Linked DNA regions of Diceros bicornis minor. The protein of the gene in region 2 interacts with the protein of the main gene of each other region in a biochemical or structural test. Links are inferred from orthologs where the notes say so. Each region holds a gene or a part of one and is shown on either strand. Other genes may lie near its edges. The genes, in order: TNFSF13, TNFRSF13B and TNFSF13B.

Region 1 (7,051 bases), about 10 Mb from region 2:
TTCACGCCTCGCTTCGTAGCCCTGCGTTCTCTTCACTCCGGGGCCTGAGACCAGGGGCGCGATACCTTGGTCCAGTGGGGCGCGCCAGAGGAGAGCCGGGAGGGCAGGGAGATCCCGGTACAGGGACGGGGCTGAGGCAAGGCAGTGGGGGAAATGGATGCGAGGTATCATTTATTCTCTTTTATTTAACTTTAAGCAGGGCTTGAGCAGAAAGAAGAGCTCAGATGAGCGAGGCAAGACCAGCATCAGGGCGTTCGATTCTTCCAAGGCTCCCCGGCGACCCGTCCCAGCCCAGAGGGGCTTGGAGTGGCCTGCCACGCCAGGGGAAGGGAGAGTATGAAAGGCAAAACTTGGGACCCGAAGAGTAATGTGACTGCAAAGGGACCGTCCTCGTCGGGCACCCCCTGCAGATGGGCGCATAATAAATACACCTCTGGAGATAGTGATGGAAACTGAGGCCCAATAGATGGAGAGAAGAAAGGGAGGATGAGGCTTCTTGTGGGTTGAAGAGGCAGAGGGTACCTGGAGAGAGGTTTGGCAAAGGGAACCAGGAGTTTTCCTGAGTGGAGGAAGGCTTCGTGGACTTCTGCCAACAGGCAGGATGATTCTCTCAAACTGCCGCTAGATGGTGGTGCTGTTCTGGAAGCATTCCAGTGGGACCCAAAGCAGATCTAGACAATGCTTGGCATTCCCTCCCCGTTAAGAATTTGGGGCTGGATGAGGGATAAAAGCAAGACATTCTACCTCTTTAACATCCATGAAATCAAAGTCTAGGGGGTGGGAGTGGAAAAGGAAAAGGGAGGAAAGGAGTCAAACCCAGGTCCCGTGGCATGAGCTGTCAAACCCAGGGTTCCAGTCAAACCCAGAAGAGGCTTCTGTTCCTACCCATTCCCTGTCATTTGTCTAGTCAGCTCTTGGCTGTCTCCAATATGTACCCACCCTGGTTTTCCAAGCTCAGAGCCACCTTTTATAACACAATCACAGTTTCACAAACCCCAGGAAGGTTCCATGTGGAGAGAGGCTAAGTTTCGCCCTTGCACGGGGGATTATGACACTCAGAATATCCCCTTGGTGTAAATGGAAGACACCTGAGAAAAGGGAGAAACTCTGCTCAGTGAAGCACAGGCATGCAGATACTCTGATGTTTCACCCTCCCTTCTCCAGCTCAACCTTTTTTCTGCTTCCTGTAAGGACCTAGGTATTCCGCAGATCTGCCTTGACACCCAGGCTTCCAACCCCCTGTCGTAGCTCCCTCACCACTGCCCCCAGGTCAGAGATGTCGTGGTCTTCTCACATCCAGCCTCCACTGCCCGCACGGCTCTCACCTGCACTGTAGCAGCTATTGTAGGCCCAGTCCGGGTTGGAGGGCATACTTCTTATACATCGGAATAGAGTCTCCTGCCTTCCCTGGCCCTCCCGAGACACCACCTGACCCATGGTGAAAGTCACATCATGAAACAGGACCTGGCAGGGAAGGGAGGAGATGTTGAAAAAAACAGGATGGCATGGCTCATTTCTGGACAGTCTCAGGAGCCCTGTCAAGGGAGCCAAGGGATGAAGAAGGGTCTTCCAAGTTTGGTGTGAACAGGGGTTGGGAACCCTCAGTATCGGGGTACACAGGCTCAAGACTCCAGGCCCCCATGTGAGGCTCAAGGCTCATGTTTGGGGTTACCTGGCTGTACAGCAGATAAACTCCAGCATCCCAGACTCGAACAACATATCCTTGGGCCTCCAGGCCTCTCCCACGCCTAAGAGCTGGTTGCCACATCACCTCTGTCACATCAGAGTCCTCTGGAGGTAAGGAGTGTGGCAGTCAGGATTTCTGTGCACTCTCAGACTCTTTTCACCTCTAAGATTCTCTTGGGCCCAGGTGCCAGCCGCAAAGTTCCCAGATCTTGCACCCTTCCCAAAAGCCAATATATAAAATTGTGCTCACCCTTCGAGGTGATGTTAATGGGAACAAGGTGCAGCACTGAGTGCTTTCCTGAGGAGAGAAGGAGGAAATCTCAGCAGTGCCCACTACCCCAGTTGCCCTGTTGTCAGCCCTCCACCCTCACCTTGACTCGGGGTAATAATCTCCAAATCCCCATGCGGCTTGATCACCTCCCACCCCTGCGGCACCCCGGAGGCCTCACTCTTCTGTTTATGGGTGAGCACTGCTCTCCTTCTCCGGGATCTCTCCCGATTCTCCCCGGCTTCCAGGGCATCAGGGCTCTGCTCACGGAAAGAGGGTCAGGGTTAGGCTAAGATGCAAGGGTCCCAGACAGCCGTTCTCCCCAGCCCTCCCCTGACCCAGGAATGCCTCACATCTCATGCACCTTTCCCTAGCAACCTGAGTCTTGGTGCTGGCTGTCCTCCAGGATCTGTTAGGTACAAGAAGCATTAATCTTTAACAGTTTCCTTTCCTGGAATGGCTGCTCCCTTGACCTCCAGACCTGGGACCCTCTCTTGCACCCACTCGAAACTTTACAGACTAGGAGGCTGAAACCGAGAGGCCCACAGATGGCCCTGCCACCCATCTTTCTCTCCCAGACACCCCTCTCCCCTCACTCACCTGCTCCTGGAGGCTCAGCCATGGATACCCTTCCCCCTTCTCGGAGGGCCCTCCAGTCCTCTGCAGCCGGGTCACCTCTCTCCTTAGGGTTTGCAGCTCTGTCTGTTGGGTCAGCAGAGCCATGGCACAAGCCACAGCCCCCAGAGCTGCCCCCCAACTCAACCAGAGGGCAACTGAGAGTGCCGGCTCTCGGACCGGGCCCCCCATGTCTCCCGGGGGCCCTTTTGGGGCTAGCAAGGAAGGAGATGAGGCTGGCATGAGCTGGGGACCCTGCCAACAGCTGTGGTCTTAGGAGTGGGGTGGCAAGGAGGTGGCGGAGAGGGTGGGGGTGCAGGCAGTGGTGCAGAAGGGAAGAAGGGCGTTACGCAAGGGAGAAATAAAAAGGAACTTGAGAATAAAAAGGAGGGAGGAGGAAAGCAAGCTGGGGGCACTGTTGGTGCTCCTGGCACCCCGCTATGGGGCCAGTGTTGTCTTGAGACCCCTCACCCTCCTTCAGCCTCAGGAGAATTTGGTGTCAGTCTCTCTAGGAAGGACGGGGCTGCCAGTGACACCCAGGAGGAGCGGCCAGAGCACAGGAACCCTGGGGCGGCCCCAGAAGTGGGGGAGGGAAGGTTGGTTGGCTGTGGGGCATGGTGCCAGGAGCAAGGATGGAGGGACAAGCTGGGCAGCGTTGAGGGTCAACGGGTGAGGGTGGAAGACCCTCTGGCTCAGGCACGGGAGAGATTTCTGGGGATGTCTGCTAGGAGTGACTGCAGGTGGCAGAGGAGGGGAGGGGGTCGGTGGGAGGAGAACCAGGGTCGCGGAAGCAAGAAACCGTCTGAGTTCTGGGGTTAAGGCCAGGCCGGGTGTGTTGGAATAAGGCCTGCACTACTCCCTGTGCTGAACTTGGCAAGCAGGACTTCCTGTTTCCCGAGAAAAGCTCTTACATAAGGCTGTGGACAAAGAGAGAACGAGACAGCCCCAAGCACCCTACCACTGTAGGATTCCTCCCCTGGACCCAGGGGCCCAGATTCCCATGTTCCTGGGCCTCGGGGTCCTTCATATTGACTCTGAGCCCCCTTCCAGACCTGCTCCCACCCCAGATCCCAGCCAGGGCTTGTGCCAGCACCTGCTGAATGTCCTGAGGCTGCCAAGAGGAAGGGCCCCTGCTCCTCCCAGCCAGGGATTCCCCGCAGGAGGAGGCCCGCCTCCTAGGTAAATGAGGCTGCCCTGCTGGACCTTGGGCAGAGGATTGATATTTTTCCTGGCAGTTTGCCTTTCCACTCTCTGCTTATACCTCAGGGGTTGGAGGCATGCAGGTCCCCACTCCCAAGCTGTATAACACCCTGGAATTCCGGGTGTCCTGCCCCCGACTCCCCAATGCCCAGACACCCTTCCCCTGGCCCTTGGCTACACTGAGAATGTCCCCTAAGCCCCAATAAAGAGAGAGACCATGACTTATTCTCTTTAATATCCACTTATCAACATTTTGTCACAATAATAATAAAAATAATATCTGTTTTAAAAATCCACAGGGAATTATCAGGGGAGGAGCTTGTCTTGGTCTCTGACCCCTCACAGTCGGGAACTCCTGGCCTAGTCCCAGTCTTTCTGGCGTCCAGCCCCTCTTAGTGCCTGAAGAGGGGTATTCAGGACCCATCCTTACCCAGAGTACAGTAAACCCAGTGTCCTGGGGGGCTGTGGCCAGGGTGGGGAGCCAGGAGATAAATGGGGGCATCGAAAGATCAGGGGTTTGGGAGCTAAAGAGGTGGAGGACCAGAGGTGGGGGGAGTTGTCATAGTCAAATGGGAATATTTATGTGGCATGGAGAACACGTGAAGCCCTGGCAGCCTACAGAGGGAGGGGCAGATCTGGGGGGAGGAGCAGCTTAGGGTGGGGCAGAGGGGACTGGGGTGCTCGGAGAGCTGTCGTGGGGAGCCGGCAGCCTGGGAAAACCACCGTGAGACCAGGGCCCCTCAGTGAACTTGGAAGAGTCCAAAGTAGGTGAGGAAGGGGGCAGCCTTGAGATGGGCCCAAGGGAGCGTGCGGATCCGCAGGGAGGACCCTGGCCGCAGGGGCAAAAGCCCAGACACCTGGCAGAGACGGAGCTGGGGCCCGAGAGAACTCGCTGCCGTGGCCGAGAACTCTTCCAGGCAGCGCAGGGCCAGCGTGTCATCCACCAGCAAGTCCAGCTTCAGGTAGACAGCCTTCCCCTCATCAAAGTGCACCTGGGGGGCAGGGGAGGGAGGGTGGAATCTAGGGCTCTGCTTGCCCTCATGTCCATTTCAAATCTCCTTAGAGACCCAGGTATCCTCTCCAGCCCAAACCCCAAGCTCCCCCTTCCCACCTTTAGCTTGCCCCCACTCCCTAAACCAAACCCTTCTCCCTCAGTTCCTGCTTTACCCATGGAGCCAGGTGGGGCTTACCTGACAGTACAGGTAGTAGAGCCCAGCCCGGGTGACTATAAATTCCCCGCTCTGGCGGTCATAGCGCAGTGGGTTGGAGCTGTTGATTTTGGCCTCCTCCCAGCCACTCACCGTCCCGTCCACACCTGAATGTGGATGTTCAGAGATAGGGGAAAGTCCCTTTACAGGACTTTCTCACACTCCCCAGGGACCCACTGAGTTTATAAACCTTTGGGGCCCACCTTACCCAGAAGATACATAGACGGCTCAGGGCAAGGGAGGAGCCAGGGCCTGTGGAGCCCATAGTGTAACAGGCAGGTACGACACAGAGCAAGTTGTCACCAGTCACTTCTGGGGAGAAGAGTAGGTTTGACAAAGTGTGGGGGCTTTTATATTTTGTATCTATATTGCTTGCCTCTTTTACTTTGAGAATGTATACATACAGTACTTGAATCATACACCACTTGAATTATTTAAATTAAAAATAGTAAATGGTACCCAGATGTCCATCAACGGATGAATGGATAAGGAAAACTGTGGTATATTCATACAATGGGATATTATTCAGCCATAAAAAAAAATGCTATGATGTGGATAAACCTTGAAAACATTATGCTAAGTGAAAGAAGCCAGTCACAAAGGACCACATATTATATGATTTCTATGAAATGTCCAAATAAGCAAATATATAGAGACAGAAAGTAGATTAGTGGTTGCTTAGGGCCGGGGGGATGGGGAAAATGGGGGTGATGGCTAAACGGTACAGGGTTTCTTTTTGAGGTGATGAAAATGTTCTAAAATTACTGTGGTGATGGTTGCACAACTCTGTGAATATACTAAAAACCATTTAATTGTACTTTAAATGGGTGAATTGTATGGTATGTGAAGTATATCCCAATAAAGTCATTACCAAAAAAAAAAAACCATCTAGGCTAGGGTAATTGCAAATTGTAAAGAAGATAAATAATAAAATGACAGAGCAGAGTATCAAGTGGTTTCCCAGGTCCTCCACAGGCCCCTTCTGTCTCCTCTCCAATTTACTCACACATGCCACCAATTCACAAGACTCCAGCACTCTAGCCCTCTTCCTGTTCCTGCCATGCGCCAAGCTCATTGTCCCTGCAGAGCATTTTACAGCTCTTCCTTCTTCCCAGAACACTCTCCTCAGGATTCCTCCCCTGCCTGGCACCTTCTGTCAGTCAGGTCTCAACTCCTCTGAGAGACCTTCCGGGGCCACCCGCTTTAAAATAGCCAGTCCCAGCCTTGCCTCCGTTAATCTCTTCAAGTCACCCTGTTTCTTTCATAGCAGCCACCAACATAGGAAATCATCTCGTTTATTTATGTATGTGATAGTTTGGGGTCTGACTCCGCCAAGAGGGCAGCGACAGTGGTCTTATGCACCACTGTATCCCGGCGCCTGGAGCTGGGCCTGCTCTGAGTGGGCGCACAGCAAACGCTGATAGGAAGATGGAGGGAAGGAGGTGAACATGGCCAACAGCGCTCTCTTTGTTTGGGTCCATAGGCCACTCTCCTAGGCCTCACTGGCTACGTCTCAGCCGCCTGGGCATCTGCCTTCCCCAGCCCCTCATCCTCCACCAGCCGCAGGACTCTGTTCTTGTTACTTTCTCAAGGAAAACATAGTACTTGCTGAGCATTTTCATTCCCACTTATGAGTTACCTAGGCCTTTACCCTGCAGACTCTGATCTGAGCCTCTAGCTCAGAGGTTTCCTGACCCTCTTCTCCCTGCTAACTGCTGCCATTGGAATAGCCCTGGGTACCCCAAACTCATTTTGACCAAAACTGAGCTTGGCCCCCCCACCCCATACTTGCTTTGCTGTCTGTATTCCAGATTTGGCTCTACCTCCCACCGTGTACCCAAGCCTCCCTCTCCTTTACCAACTGTATTCACCGATCACCAGTTCCTGCAACTTCTGCTACCTAAGTAGCCCTGCCTTGTCTTCCTCCCCAGTCTGGCCTCTGCCACTTCTCACTGGGACTCTTCTTGGCCTCCTTCCTCACTGAACTTCCTGTTTCCAATATTGTCTGCTCCAGTCTATTCCCCACACACAGCCACAGAGTGATGTTTCTAAAATGCAGATGTGAGCCTCAGAA
Region 2 (7,960 bases):
TTGGGGTTAGGCAATGACACCAAATGTACAAATGATTAAAAGGAAGATTGAGAAATTGGACCTCACCAAAATTAAAAACTTATGTGTTTCACAGAACACCATCAAGAAAATAAAAAGACAATCCACAGACATGGAGGAAATATTTGCAAATCATATATCTGATAAGGGATTTGTATCCAGACTATACAAAGAGCTCTTATAACTGAATAATAAAAAGACAACCCAATTTAAAAATGGATTAAGGAGTTAGACATTTTTCCAAAGAAGATATATGAATGGCTAACAAGCACATAAAAAGATGCTCAACATCATCTGTCACTAGGGAAATGCAAATCAAAACCACACTGAGTACCTGTTAGGATGGCTATAATGAAAAAGACAGTGACAAGTGTTGGCAAGGATGTGGAGAGATTGGAACCTTCATGTGTTAGGCCGGATTATAAAACTGTGCAGCCACCTTGGAAAACACTTTGGCAGTTCCTTGAAATGTTAAACACAGAATTACCATATGACCCAGCAATTCCACTCCCCAGAGAAATGAAAACATGTCCACCCAATATTTGTACACAAATGTTCATAGCAGCGTTATTCATAATAGACAAAAAAGTAGAAACAACCCAAATATCCATCAACTGATGAATGGATAAATAAAATGTGGTATATCCATAAAATGGAATATTATTTGGCCATAAAAAGGAATTAAGTACTGATACGTGCTACAACATGGATGAACTTCAAAAATATTACGCTAAGTGAGAGAAGCCAGTCACAAAACACCACACTCCATTTCTACAAAACGTGCAAAATAGGCAAATCTATAGAGACAGAAAGTGGATTAGTGGTCGCCTAAGGCTGGGGGTGGGGAGGATGAGGAGGGACAAGGCTTCTCTTTGGGGATGAAAATCTTCTAAAATTAGATTATAGTGATGGTTGCACAACTCTGTAAATACACTAAAAAACACTGAATTGTACACTTTAAATGGGTGAACTTTATGGCATATAAATTATATCTCAATAAAGCTATTTATTCTAGGGGAGGCAGGAACCGGGCAGACAGAGGACAGGGAGGGGAGGCAGGCTTTCTGTTATATACCTTTTTATACTTTCTGAGCTTCCAACCATGTGACTATACTACATATTCAAAAAGCAATTTAAAAAACAAACAAATCAAACAAAATTAAAAAGAGACCCTTGACCCTTCCCTCATTTGGGGAGAAAAGAGGGAGAGACTGCTTCCCACCCAACCCCCTGTGAGGTGATGGTTGGGTGGATAGTGGGTCAGATCCGACAAGGGCGCCTGAGAGAGCTTTCAAGACACGTGGCCGGGAAGCCACCACGCCGCTGGACCTGACCGAGAGACAGTGCCCAAGTGGCCAGAGGGTGCCGTCCCTGCTCCCCCTCCTCTACCACTGCCTGGACCTACGGAAAATGCCAGAGTCATCGTCAGCCCCAAAGAGGGCAGAAAAACCCCAGGACTGACACCGGCCAGGCAGAACAGAAGCTTGGGAAAGAAGCTCTGTTGACACACGGGGAAGAAGGGAAGGAGTCCCGCACGCCTGGTCTGTGGCCCCGGCTCCCAGCCCAGCTCCCGTGCACCCTGAGACTGGAGAGCAGCCAGGAGGGACGATTCCTGGAGCCCACTGCCCATGCTTCCTCACGTGCTTGGCTTGTTAATAGGTGCTGCACCAAGAAAGACCTCTGGGGTCAAATTAGTTTGAAAAATGCTGGGTTAAAGAAAGTCAAAGTGTGTTTTTTTAACGGCAGCCCTTCTCAGAACCACTGCTTGTGACTCTTCAAGAGGGGCTCTGGCAGGTACAAAGCCCTTCTGTGTTTTTGAGGGACATCTGGTGGAACAGAGGCTCTTCTTCTTTTTACAGCTGAGGAAAGGGAGCCCAGAGAGGTGAAGCGGCTCATCCAAGGTCACACAGCAAGTCCGTGAGCAGCAGAAGCTAGAACTCCTGACTCCCGGCCAGGGCTGAGTCCTCGGCATGAGGTAGCCTCCATCAGTGCCAGGTCACAGCTCTGACCCATCCCGACTCACGGTTGGTCCTGGGGGCCCAGGCAGCTTCATCCTGTATCAAGGCGACCTCTGGTCCCTCCCTGGTCCAACTCTCTCAGAAATTTTATACATTTGAGCCCTTAGCTGAGGACACGTCTGGGGATGTGGTCACAACACAAAACGGAACAGAGAAAAGACAGGCTCCCTACCTGATGCGTGGGGGAGAGAATAGGCTGTGCCACTGTGGGCCCTGATACCCGCTCAGATCCGGCCCCGGGTCCCATCTGCACAGGGAGGACCTGGCCCCTTTTATCCGCTTTAGCGACCTACGCTTCCAGGTTTCTGCTTTCGAGCAAACCTTTAAAAGCTGCCCTGACGCATGATCCAGCTTCTTCAACAAATAAACAGCAGGGAAAAAATGGGAACGGTGCTAGATTAAAACATAGGGCCAAAGGCTGACGTGGGCTGTGTTTGATCCCGGTTTGCACAAATCAACAGGAAAAGGCACAGCTGAGACCATCGGGAAGTCTGAACACTGACCGGCCGATAGTGGGGAGAGACTGAGGGATCATGGTTCTCAGAAGTGGTCACCACATCATGGTTAGTTTTTTGGTTTTTGTTTTTTAAAGAGTTTTTAAGAGATAAATCCTGAGGTGTCCCCAAATCAAACAACACGATGTTCGGAATTAGCTTTAAAATGCTCCAGGGGGCCGGAGCCGGGATGGGGGGCGTGGGTGACCAGAGTTGGTCACATATTGATAAATGTGAAGCGGGTGACCCACCAGGAGGGTTTGTAAACTCTCCTCTCTACTCTTGCCTAAGTGTCAACTTCAAAATAAAATATTTTTAAAATACCCTGGTGGGGGCCGGCCCGGTGGTGCAGTGGTTAAGTGCCCGTGCTCCGCTTTGGCAGCCCGAGGGTTCACAGGTTTGGATTCCAGGCGCGCACCCACGCACCTCTTGTCAGGCCATGCTGTGGCAGCGACCCATATAAAGTGGAGGAAGATGGGCACGGATGTTAGCCCAGGGCCAGTCTTCCTCAGCAAAAAAGAGGAGGATTGGCATGGATGTGAGCTCAGGGCTGGTCTTCCTCACACACACACAAAAAGTCCTGGTGAATCTGGCTCCGGGCCCTCTGGCCAGCTTGTGGTAGGGGTCTCAGAGGGAATTCCTGCCCCGGTGGCTGACCATCTGGCCTCGGGGCTCCCATCCTGGACTGCAAGGCACAGACCCCGGAGTCCCCAGACCTGGGCTCTCCACGGGCGGGGGCTTGGGGAGGCCCCGGACCGCCCCAGCTTGCCCATCTGCTGTGGGCGTCGCGCCCACCGACCCCACGGAGCCCAGGCGGCGCCGAGCCCTCCCAACCACCCGCGCCTCCCCGGCTACTCACGCCGCTCCTCCGGGCCCGCCCGGCTCCGGCCACCTCTCCTGCTCTGGCCCGGGCCCCTCATTACTCAGGACGTTTATTATTAGCCTCAGATTTGATTAGTGCCCCTGCTGCACTTCCTGGGTTTTCCCCCCAAGCTGTAGGATGTAAATCAGCGGCACCCCCACCCCTCACCCCCGCGCCTGCGCGCTGTCTCGGGAGCTGCTGGGGGTGGACGCGGCCCGGCGCCCCAGGAGTCCCGTCGGGCGCTGTCTGCTGAGCCCCCCGCACGCTGCTCACCCGGGCAGAGCAGGGGAAGGCCCGACCCCGCCCCGGCATGGGCTACCAACCCTGGCATGGCCCAGATCTGGCCCTGACCTCCCACCGGGACCTGGTCTCCTGCCCCACCGCGGACACGCCAGGCTCAGGCCCGGGAAACAGCTCTCCAGCTTCCGAGCATTGCTCAGGCCCTTCCTTCGTCCCGGACAACTATTGCTTGTTTCATTGCCCGGTCATCTCCTCTTATTCCTTCTTCAGGCTCAGCTGAGGTGTCACCTCCTCTGGGAAGCCATCCCTGACTGCCCCAGGCCAGGTTAGGTGCCCATTCTCTGTGCTTCCTAAGCTCTGTCCTTCCTCCCTTCAAAGCACTCCAAGAGGCTGACACTAAAGCCTGGGTTTGAGTCTCAGCTCGCCCACTTAGCAGCAGGAAGCCTTGGCGGCAGTTTACTTAGCTTCTCTGGACCTCCATTTCCTCTTCTGTAAAATGGATATAATAACAGTCCCTGTCTCACAGGTTGTTATGAGAATGAAGTGAGTTAACACAGTGGAATTTGTAGAGCAAGTTCTTGGCACAGAGCAGGTTCTCACTAAATGATATGGAAATTAGTGCTGTAGCCCTCTTCACACTCTTGTCTTCCCAGCTCCTCTGAAACCTCCGTGAGCATGAGGAGCCCGCGGCTTAAGCTGGAGTGGGACGCACTTAGAAGTCACAGGAAGCCCACGGCACTCAGGAAGGGACCTTTGAGGGCTGAGAAGGAATCAGGCGGGTGGAGGGAAGGAGATAGGCCTTCCAGGCAGCGGTCAGGGCAGGGGGGAGCGGTGCGGGGAACAAAGGCCAATTTAGATGATGGTGAGCAGAACAGGAGAGAAAATGCAAATGGCTCGTAACCCTAAAAAATGCTTAATCTCACCAATAAGCAGAAAAGTACGACTTAACCATGAAAAACTGATTTTCATCCAGCAAGTTGGCAAAGTCTTAAAGTTGATGGTGTCGAGGACTGGAGGGGATCTGCGGAAATGTGAACTCACGCCCTGCTGGAGGAGGGTACCGCCATTTCAGAGGGCAACCTGGCAGCGTCAAGTAAATGTGGAACATATGCCTAACCCAGGACCCAGAAATTCTTTCTGTGCCGCAGAGGCACAGGGATGTTCGCTGAAGCATAGTCAATAACAGTGAGCAACTGGAACGACGCGAATGCCCACCCAATAGAGATGGCTGAATAAATAAGGTACACAGGCCGTAACCAGGAACACTACGCGTCGCCTGAAAAGAATGAGGCAGATCTGTAAGCAGTGACGTGGAAAGATTGTCAAGACAGATCGTTGAGTGGAAAGAACATAGTTTATAGGATGATACTTACAGTAAGATGCCTTTTAGTAAAACACAAACAAGCAGATCACACACACACACACACACACACGCACACAAGGCCACTATATTGTCCACGATCGCGTACGTGTGAATGTGACGCGAGTCTGAAGGGCTGTGCATGATGACAGTGGCTGCATCCAGGGGGCGGGGGGCGAGAAGGGAGCAGGGTTGGCGGTGATGGTCAAAGGGGACTTTAGCCCTATTCATACTGTTTTAACTTTCACATGGAGAAGATACCACATATTACTTGTGTCAATGAAATGTAGCAAACCCACGGCTGGGCTGGTGGGGTAGACGCGTGAGCCAGAGGCAACCATAGATTCTGTTGCCAGGAACGTTCTGCCTGTTGAAATGGGGCAAGCCCAGAGTCACTGCTGGATGCCCTCACTGCATCCCCTCCTTGCCTTCGATTTGCACACTCCCAGGGCCGAGGCTCTCACCACCTCACAAAGCGGTTGGCTCCCAGGGGGTGAGCTCTGACCACTGGACAGCTTGTCTCCATCTATTGAACACTGTGCCTTCCAGAAACGCAACCTCTGGACAGGTTGCCGCTCTCTGGAGCCACATGCATGGTCTTGGTCAGTGAGACAGCACTCTGGAGTTTTACAGCCAGCATAGGTTAGGCGGAAACTGAAAGACAAGCCCACAAAATCCCACTTGACTTTTGGGGTGGCTGAGAACTGCATGGTGGGGTTCCCTGATGTCCCATTGCTGATCACAGCTTGTTAATGCTTTTCTCAAACAGTTTACAGACAATGGATTTCATTTAGTTTCTATTTCTTTAGTTAGAGGCGTCGTTTACATATGATGAAATGCATGCATGTCCTGTGGAAGGTCAATGAATGTTTACATATGCGCATATCCAGGCAGCACCACCCACATTAAGACTTAGAACACTTTCAGCCCCCACAGAAGGCTCCCTCCCTCCCCCTCCAGGCAGTACCCCCATCCCAGAATAGCCACTGTTCTGACCTCTCTCCCCATGCAATCGCTTGCCTGTGCCAGCATGAGTGGGATGAATGGGAACAGAAGATGGGGTCATCCGCGGTGTCTAGTTTCACTCCGTGTTAGGTGGGATTAAAGCAGGCAGAACAAAGCTGTGGGGATCTTGGGGGGAAGTTGTTTGACGTCTGCGAGTCTCATTTTCTCCTGATCCATCACATGGATGGCCACGAAGCTGAAACAGGACTGCACAGACCAGAGCACACGTGACCCCTCCCCCCAGGGCCGCACGGTTGCAGGGAATTGCTATCGTTGGGCATGCTCGGTCTAGGCCACGACCCACGACAACACCCCCCAGCCCCGCCCCCAGCACTCTGGGCTGCCTCAGCGCAGGTGGTGGAGGTTTCCGAACCTCATTCTGAACCTTCCAAACCTCATTCTGAAACCAGCCCTTCTGACTTGTCTCCTTGGGGGTGCGGAGTTCTAATTTTAAGCTCCACAGTCAAGGCGACAGCAGAGTTTTGGAACCCAGAGCAAAGACACATTGTATACCTCAAGGTTTGGGAACTGGTTCATTCATATACGTGTATTTAAACTGTTGAAATGAGCACGTGGTAAAGAAACATTCAAACAGTGTGAAAGAGAATATAGCAAAAAGCAAATTTCGCCCCAATCTAGATACTCCAGACTCCCCTCCTCAGAGGCAGTAGCCGCCAGCACGTCTGTTCCCACAGCCTTCCACTAGGGCCCAGGCCTTCGTGCGAGTGTGGGTCACTACAGGACAGATTTTGCCCCATTTCCCCCCACACGCTTTTTTTTACGTAATTGCTGGCTTATCCAGATTAAACACACTGTTAACACGCTCCTTTTCTCCCTTAATATATCCTATCAATCAGTCCTTACCTTTTTAAATGAGCTCTTAGAATGCTCGCTAGGAATAATAACAGGAGCGAGCATTTCCGAACCCCTCACTGTGTGCCAGGCGCTATTCTTAAACACTTGGCATGTGCTCATTAATGTCTGTTTTATCTTCTCCGTGACTCACGGAATGGCTGGAATTCCTCAGGGGGAGTCACTCTGTCAGAGGGAACGCTGCCGTGTTGGTCAGTATTTCCTTGCCCGCGTGTGCGATGCTGTGACTGCAGGGCCCCTCGCCCACTCCAGGGCTGGGAGGGTCTTTGAGGCGGCGGGTGTTCGTCTCATCCCGCCCTCGTGTCTGCCACCCCCGCTGGCCCCTTTGAGGCCACGCCGTTGAACCTTCTCTAAAGAGTCTTAGAGGTAAGATAAAAGCAAGAGTACCCAAAAAAGGACATTTCTTAGAAATGCAGCGAAAGCCCTGATTTTCATGATTGCAATTTACATACACGACTCAGATGTGCTGAATTTCCTACTTTGCTAATATACCTGTTCCTTCGATTTGTACTAATTTCTCAGAAAGGCTAGATACTGTTACTTGAGCAAAACCCACCAAAGAAGCAAACACTGATTTCTTTACAATAAAAGCACCCAATCTTTTGTGGGAAGACCTAGTTTCTTTTTCTATTTTAAAATTTTCCCCTCAAAACTTTTTATTATGAAAAATTCAAAACTCAGAGAAAGGTTAAAAGTGAAGTAAAATGAATACCCGTGGACGCTCCAAGACTCAACAGCTGTTCACTTAGACAGCTGAAAGCAGACATTGAAGCTTCACGCCCAGATGCCTCCCAGATGACTCCTAGGAAGACGGACTATGTTCTCTTACACAGACGATCATTTTCCCCCCAAGACAGTCAGTGAGAATTCAATAACATCATTTACTAACTAGTCCATGTTTCAATTTCCCCAGTTGTCCTAAGAAGTTTTTCTTGGCTGCTTCTTTTGAATTAAAATCCAGCCTAGGGTCACACGTTTGCTTATGACTCTTCAGTCATTTTTCTCCCAGAACAGTCCCCTCCCTTTAGCTCTTTTTCTTTTGCCTTCCTTTCCTTTCTTTTGTTGTTTGGTGTGGACTCGGCCGCTGTCT
Region 3 (8,042 bases), on a different chromosome or scaffold from region 2:
TTGATTTCTTACTCAGTTCTTTACTTCCTAAATATGCTGTAATGAGCCTATATCCTCTTTGGAATGGTAAAGTTAAGGTTTATTTTTAAAACTAATATTTAGAGGCAGGGGACTACTAGCAGAGAAAGTTGAAGAAGATTGAGGCATCCTGATCCTACTGAACATTGAAGCTCATTATATTACAAAATTACTTAAAATATTTTATTTAATACAGATAAACAGAATAATAAATCAATGAAAAAAAGTTTCAAAATAGATTCAACTATATATGAGGAACTTTTAATACAGTAAAATTTCCAACACAAACAAGTTAAAAAGAATCATCTAGTAAATTTGGTAGAGATATTTAGCAGCAGTTTGGAAGGAAAAAATAGAAGAAGAAAGGGGAAGTTAAAGCTGGTGTGATATGAGCTTCCAAAATAAATGCCAGCAGGATTGATGAGTTAAATACCAAACTAAAACACTAAATTATAAAAAAGTCAAAGTAGCGGAAAATAGAATCGACTATTTAAGAGATTACAAACAAATATATTTTTAGCTTTGATGTATTAGAGAAAGTCAAAAGGAAAAGTTTGTCACATTAAAATACACAGATGCAAAATCTCTGTACAAGTTTAAAAAAGCAGCAAAATATTGTGAAAAGATTTACATCAAAATTCTGATAAACGTTAATATGTGTAATATAGAATTTAGTCAAAATTATAAAAAATTAGGACAGGCAAATGAGGGAAGATATAATAAAAATTAGCAGAAGATAAAATTAGAAGTATCAAAATATGCGGAAAGAAGTTAATTCTTACTTGTAAACAAGCAACAAATTAAATTTGAGATACTGCTTTACAACTACAAAAGTAGCCAAAATAAATTTTCAAAGATAAAATGCTGTAAGAATGTGGAGAACTTGTACACTCTCTTTCTGACTGCACACATTTAGAACTCATTTGGGAAGCAATATGGTAACAGGTAGCAAGAGTGATGAAGATGTTCATCCTCTTTAGCTCAGACATTCCATCTATGGAATTTATATTGAACATATCATTCCTCAGAAACAAGAGATCTGCACAAAAATTTTGGCATGTTCCATTATAGCCAAAAAAAAAAAAATGGAAATGATCATGTTAAATAATCGTATGATAATAAATAAACTAATTTAGATGCATGAGAAATTACTTAGAAATAGGGAAAATGCTTATGGTATAATAGGTGAACACAAAAATATACCATAGTATATATGCTGTATTTTTTCAATTATGTAGAAAATGTAGACGATCAAATGCAAAATATGAAAATAATTGATGTGTTAAAGTATAGTAAAAATATGAGTGTTTCCTAGTTTAAAAACGTTTAAACCTAATTGTTTCTGATAATTGGCACACAGATAGAAGAACCAGATACAAAAAATTATGGTTTTATAAAATAAGGAAGAATTTTTTTCATGAATAAAGAAAGCATTTACTGAAAAATAAGCTTACAGTCAGAGTATCTAATGTGTGTGTCGAATAGCACACCTCGTCTGTGTCCTTCACGTGCTTCTCTTCAGTACAGATGTATGTAATGATCACACGCGCTCTGCTTTCCTCCCGGTCACTGTAAAGGTGAAGGAAATGGCAGGTGGGACAACACCTGTCCTACCGCAAGCCTGCCTGGCACATTCGAGGTGCTCAGAAACGTTCTTTCAATATAAAAGGGAAACGATACCAAGGATTTGTCAAATTGTGATATTAGAAAATGCAATGCAAATGCTCTTGTTCGTCTTTGAAACAAAGGAATTAGAACCAAGCATTTTGGGAGGCCTCACCAAATCCGAGGTTTCAGGAATCTGTAAGATTCTGTGGAATAAGTGGAACATGAAGAAAGGTGGAAATCACTCAAGAAGTACTACAAGAAGATTATAAATGTATGGATCTCCTGGAAAAGCATATGTAAAAGAAAATTTTTTAAATTAGAGTGTGTGTGTATAAAATACACTGTATTTAAAGCAAGAAGCAAAATAAAGCACAAACACACACCTGCTCCCACTACGACCTTGGTTTCACAGCACACCAGGCAGGCCATGCTTGTCTTGAGCCGGTGTCTACGACCCAGGTAGACAGAATCTAATTCTGTGCTAACATGTCATGCTTTTTATCGGAGTGATGGACAATGCTTCTGACATACGGGTGAACTACCTATTGGAGGAAAAATATGTGCCCCATTTTTTGCTCCTTTATGCTTAATGTATGGCACAGGCAAATATTTCCACCCCCAAAATCTGCTCATTGGAGGACAAAACTGCTGTGCAGCCTATTAAATCTGCAAGTGCTCTGGCTTTGCCACAAAGCCACATGTGGTTCAGACGGCAAATTGCACTCTCTATGTTATGCTCAGCTCGCGCGCCCCCAAACCGGATGCGGTCCTCCACACCTGTGAACGCTGAGATCCCCGACTCCTAAACGCTTCTGTTCCCCAAACCTACCTGTTTCTTCTGAGTCCGAAACGGCACGCTTATTCCTGCTGCTTTGATTGGAGTTGCTTTCTCCTAGAGCTGGTGGTGCAAAGATGCCCTAAGAAGAGAAAAACCCCAAGTTATGGCACAGACCTCTGCGGTGGGGGAGGCAGCAGTGCGGGGAGACTCGTGCCTGGGCTGCAGCTGCTGCAAACTCACTTTCAGTGCGGAGGTGGCAGCTGCAGCCTGCCGCACAGCTGCCCGGGGGGCTGCTGCTCCCGCCCGGGGAGGGCCTGGCGGCCGCTCAGCGTGGGACGCCTGCAGTTCCTCCCGGAGGCTCCCCAGCTCCGCTTGCAGGGCGACCACCCGGCAGAAAGACACCACCGTGAGGCAGCAGGACAGCAGGGCCAGCAGCAGGGTCACGGCCAGCAGCTTTCCATCTTTGGAGAGTCGGACAGAGGGGCTTTCCTTCTGGGGGAGGATGGAGACACTGTCCTTCAGTTTCATTTCTTCTCTTCTCTTAAGGCAAGAAGAAAGGCGTGACTGCTCCCCTCGTGTGGAGTCATCCATCTCACTCCTTGAACTTTGGAGGTTCGGGCCTTTAGAATAAGTGACCACAGGGAATGGATCATTTCCTGTTATCTGTGTTTGTTGATGTCCTACATTGACTACATCGCCCAGCGTGGCTCTCGCCCTCAGGAGAGTTCTCCTGAATTTTCTTCTCTCTGCCCCGCTGCATCTCTGCCCTACTGTACGCTAGGTCTTCCTGGCATTCGCCCTTCTATTCGATTGCTCAATCAGTCTTCCTCATTTCACTTTCAGTTTTTGTAAGAATTTTAATGACATCTCAAAACACTCATACACACACGGGCCCCTTAAATCCACTGATTTGTCGGAACCTCGGGTTTGGGTCAGCACACTTAAGGGCACTTTTAAGCCGTGCAGTGTTTAAGGAGCTCCCTCTGAGGCGTTCTCAGAGAACTGGGTCTACTTGGGGCCACGTGGCTTTGTAGGAAAGGGGAAAAGAACATGAAAGTTCCTGCTGGTGTAATAAAAATAATGAATGTGAGGTCAGATAGCTAAGTGCTTCAGTATTGAACTGTACTCAGCTGGAAAGTGATTTATTAACAGCCTTTAAGCAGGAAATAAAATGAAGTGTCCTTAAAGGAGGCACGGAAGTCCGCTGGGGACTCTTCTCTTTATTGTTATCTCAGCAATGTAATTAAAAGCATGTGGCTAAACTTTGGAGACCTATTTAAATTAGATACGGGTGTGTTCTTCTACAGGGGAATGCATTTCCAAGGGAAACTTGCTAATCATTTCCTTCTGGGACTCACTGCTAGGGAGTCCGTCCCCCACAGGACACCCCGCCCCAAGGAGCGGTCCCACCTCTACTGTTCCCGCTTCTGGAGCTTGAAGTCCCTGCTCAGTGTGATGCTGTTTCGAGGTTAATGGGCCTTATCTCCAGCTCCAAATGCCCCAGTCCGGCCACTTACTGCTCTTTGCTAAAGCAGCTTATCTACCAGTCCACAGTAGGTTGACTCTGCCCCAATCGAAGTGCACGCAAAACGACCTGACTCAACCCAGAATCACTTCAGTTTCAAATCCCTATGGTTGGACGTGGCGTTGCTGCCTTGTCTTGATGGACGGCTCCTGGACATTTCCCGGTTTCTGGGTGCTTGGCTCTCAGCACCTACATATTGAGCAAGGAGCTTACACTTCAGTGATGTTACTGAGCACTTGCCGAGGCCTGGCTAAGCACGACTCCCCCGTGAGCAAAGACTGTAGAGCAGGAGCTCTATCTGACCCCACATTTCTATGCCATCTTCAAAAGAAAGTTACAGAAATGAGGTAAGTAAGGGTAAGGCCTCCAGGGAGCGAATCCTGGCTCCACCTCTTACTCTCCTTGGGCAAAGTATGTAAACTCTCTGTGACTCAGTTTCCTCATCTCTTAAATGAGATGATAACTGTCCCTGAGAATTGTAAAGAGGCGTACAGGAAAGTAGAACAAATTATATTTAAGATGCTTCCATTTTTCATTCACAACATGAAATATATTTCATTCATTCATTATACGAACGAAATGTTTCACTCATTCATTACACGAAGTATTTTTCATTGTTATTAACAGTGCCATAATAAACATCTTTGTACATGTCTCCTGTAACATCTGCAAGGGTTTCCCCAGCAGGCACCTGCTGGAGAGCAGGCACAGGGTTACCTTTACCACGTGTCACCAAGTCCCCTCTGATGAGTGCCCGTTTCCTCAGTGTCTCAGTAAGCATGATGTCGCGAGACTTATTCATTTTTACCTATTGGGATTGTTATTATTTTCCTTTGTGTCTGCAAGTTCCAAGACTCTTTTAAATGACCTTTAAAAAACTTAAAAAAAAAGTAAAAATTTTTTAATGATTACCTTGGTCTCCCAAATTAGCTATTCTCTAATCTCTCAGGTGGAAGTCTTCTTCTGTGAGTGAGTATGCAAAATCTTTTGAATCAGACATCACGTAATACAAGTCTTTTGTCACAGTCCTATGTTTCCAGGTCAATCAGGGTGACATATAAGAGATAACATTCCAATAAAAAAGAATTAGTTTAGGGATTGTATTAAACCCTTCTGACTGAAAGTAATTGAAACTCACTGAGATCATGTGAGTGTATATTAATATTATCTATGCACATACAGAGTAAGAATTCAAGGCGGTGCTGGAAACCAACGACTCTTCCTTCACTCGGGACACCTGTGGCCGCTGCTGCTTTCTGTGGGTCAACACTCTCCTACTTCTGACGGGTCACTTGTCTCCTACTCTGCTGTGACATTTCTGAAGAGAGAGGGAATAATTTGACCGTTTTAGCAATTACCTCTGCCTTGGTTGCTCTATTGGGCAGAAACCTTCATGCCCAACCACCTCAAGAGACAGCCACCCAGCAGCCTACGTGCAGGCCATTTTAAAACAAGTACCCCGTCCTGGATCAAGCAGGGGGCAACCCTGAGCACAGAGAGGGCTGGTGCTTCCTCCACAAAAGGCAGCAGGCCAGCCTCCCCCCGACCCAGACCTGAGGCAGGCACTCATTGCCATTTGCGTGTCCTCCACGGCGATCACACAATTAAATTTGTCTGAAGACAGATCGAAAACTAAGTGGCATTCATGTGCTCTTGAATTTCTTATTAGAGGAACAAAAGGAAGTCATTACTCCGTAAATCAAAGATCTGTTTCCTGCAGAGGAAGTGGTTTGACAATAATTTAACTGAAACTCTGTTAAACAAATAGCATGTTCACATCCACTGAACACACACCACACAAGTTTATCCAGGGAGGAGAAGCTACCCTCCCTGAGCCACAGAGCGCTCTCTGTCAGTACGTAGCTACTTTTCTACCCACTTCTTTTTCTCAACTTCAGTGTAAAACACTCTCCTGTAACATAGCTATACCAAATTGAATAAACAAATTGAGATGTCACATTCCTGTCCCAGCCACTCAGGGGTGGGCAGATAGGAACACGTGAGGGTATATTTGAAAAGAACTTCAGTGATGAGTTTATCCAAGGAACTGAACCACAGCATAAAACGAACACCTACTCTATGACTGCTTGCTTCTTATACTGACAACCTCAAAATATTCAAAAAGCTTATCAACTTCTGGCTTAATAGTATCATGAAGAATTAGCAAGTTTGGGAAATCTCTCCTATACCCCTTTCTTTGAGGAAAATGAGTCTTTCATAAGGATTTGGACCACTCAAGCATGGAGACAACAGCTCTTCTAAATATTCGGATGTACCTAAAAATAAATCTAGGTGAAACTGGCTTCCTAACGTGCTCAGAATATGGAAAATAGTTTGATACAAATAACTATTAAATTTCAGAAAAAAAATCATGTTGTTTTCTGGCAGAAATAGATATGCAGTCGGTTGCTATTACAGTTATAGTGAAAATTGATTTGGAAGGCTGAATGCTAAACACCGTGTAGAACTTAACTGTGGAATAATATGTGTTTAAAATTAGACAACTCTGGTCGTTCCTTACACAAAAAATAATGTCAGTGTCTGGCAATGCTGATTTCTCTTTCTTAATAGTTATATTAAAAAGAAGACTGTGTATGCATGTACTGGAGGTTGATTTTTGTCACTGTTGGAAAAAAATCCACTTTTGTAAGAACTCAGTTTCATTTGTGAATCTGTCCTCAATTTGTTTTGTAACTGCTTTCAGATTTAATTCTCTTGAAGAAAAGTGTTTAAATGTGTGTTTTTAAGAAATTTCTGTTTACTTCAATACTATTTTCAATGAGTGCAATTTAGTTTGTCATTCTTCATAATGTTTACAATATTTTCGTTGGTATTAAGATGGATATGTGTCAGTCCATATGATCACCTACCTATTTCATGTACATGAATGAATTTTTCTATTTTACACACACTGACACCCAGGGACACTCAAATAACACCTGGTCAGATTTGACCACCTCAAAAACGTTGGGAGAAATGATAAAGTAATTCTACACATGCAGGAAATATTACTTACAAAACTCTCTGCCTTTAAGATTAATAAAGCACAGTTTGCAAACATTTTTAATGATTAATTTGACTTTTTGTTTACTAAATGCGAGAGGTAAAATGATGGGAGTTAAGAGTGCAGGCTCTTGGGGCCAGCCCGCTGCCTTAGCAATTAGGTGCACGAGCTCCGCTACTGGCGGCCTGGGTTCGGATCCCGGGCGCACACTGACGCACCGCTTCTCCGGCCATGCTGAGGCCGTGTCCCACATACAGCAACTAGAAGGATGTGCAACTACGACATACAACTATCTACTGGGGTTTTGGGGGAAAAAAAGGAGGAGGACTGGCAATAGATGTTAGCTCAGAGCCGGTCTTCCTTAGCAAAAAGAGGAGGATTAGCATGGATGTTAGCTCAGGGCTGATCTTCCTCACAAAAAAAAAAAAAAAAGAGCACAGGCTCTAAAGTCAGACATACCTGTATGCCCAATTTTGCTTCACCATCTTAACAGTCTTTCCTGCCCCAAATCTGGAAACTGATTTTGGTTAGATGTCCATCTTCGTGGGATGCTGACCAAACGCACGCTATATCCTAACCACTGCAGTTCAGTCCTGGGGACTCCATCCACATCGCCCTTGATTGCCAAGAGTGGGCAGATAGGGAAGTTTCTAACAATCAGATGTGAAAGGTGGTCTCTCATGAGAAAGAGTCCATCATCTTTAAAGAGAAACAATAAAAAGACACTCTTCTTGCTCTATCACATGTCTACACATGACAACCTAGAACTGCACCAAATGCTGTGATACCCAGGCTGAGAGGCTGAGGACAGGAGAGCAGGATCATGGAAGAAAACTGGGTCTCTCATGGCACTACTGTGCTGCTGAATTAATCAACTCTTCGTGTTCCCTCTCCAGGGACTTCTTATATTGAGTAATACTTTTTCCCTATTCTTTAGGACAATTTGAGACAAGATTAGACGTTAATGCACCCAAAGACATCAAAACTAATTCTGCTGGCTTGAGGATATTTATATTCCTACAACCAAAGATCTTTTCACAGAACAGTTTCAAATGTCCTTTCAGAATTTGTCCAAATGTCCCCATTTTTAAAACTCCAATGTAAAAAGA

Evidence for each region.
Region 1: the proteins of TNFRSF13B (region 2) and TNFSF13 form a complex in vitro, tested with the Homo sapiens proteins (2 studies listed by BioGRID and IntAct). The link is inferred for Diceros bicornis minor from reciprocal best matches to the Homo sapiens genes TNFRSF13B and TNFSF13.
Region 3: the proteins of TNFRSF13B (region 2) and TNFSF13B form a complex in vitro, tested with the Homo sapiens proteins (3 studies listed by BioGRID and IntAct, with this or other methods). The link is inferred for Diceros bicornis minor from reciprocal best matches to the Homo sapiens genes TNFRSF13B and TNFSF13B.

Annotation. Positions count from the first base shown.
Region 1 is NC_080757.1:10,771,169-10,778,219, forward strand, and holds TNFSF13 (tumor necrosis factor ligand superfamily member 13), read right to left. Parts: upstream 2,901-7,051; 5' UTR 2,813-2,900; coding exon 2,555-2,812; intron 2,215-2,554; coding exon 2,058-2,214; intron 1,985-2,057; coding exon 1,937-1,984; intron 1,792-1,936; coding exon 1,673-1,791; intron 1,465-1,672; coding exon 1,326-1,464; intron 1,089-1,325; coding exon 979-1,088; 3' UTR 836-978; downstream 1-835. Other genes in the region: TNFSF12 (tumor necrosis factor ligand superfamily member 12), read right to left, coding at 4,510-4,761, 4,960-5,084. UniProt on the Homo sapiens protein: Cytokine that binds to TNFRSF13B/TACI and to TNFRSF17/BCMA. Plays a role in the regulation of tumor cell growth. May be involved in monocyte/macrophage-mediated immunological processes.
Region 2 is NC_080757.1:465,906-473,865, forward strand, and holds the start of TNFRSF13B (tumor necrosis factor receptor superfamily member 13B), read right to left. Parts: upstream 3,468-7,960; 5' UTR 3,451-3,467; coding exon 3,390-3,450; intron 1-3,389. UniProt on the Homo sapiens protein: Receptor for TNFSF13/APRIL and TNFSF13B/TALL1/BAFF/BLYS that binds both ligands with similar high affinity. Mediates calcineurin-dependent activation of NF-AT, as well as activation of NF-kappa-B and AP-1.
Region 3 is NC_080748.1:82,904,231-82,912,272, reverse strand, and holds the start of TNFSF13B (tumor necrosis factor ligand superfamily member 13B), read right to left. Parts: upstream 3,166-8,042; 5' UTR 2,996-3,165; coding exon 2,645-2,995; intron 2,544-2,644; coding exon 2,456-2,543; intron 1-2,455. UniProt on the Homo sapiens protein: Cytokine that binds to TNFRSF13B/TACI and TNFRSF17/BCMA. TNFSF13/APRIL binds to the same 2 receptors. Together, they form a 2 ligands -2 receptors pathway involved in the stimulation of B- and T-cell function and the regulation of humoral immunity.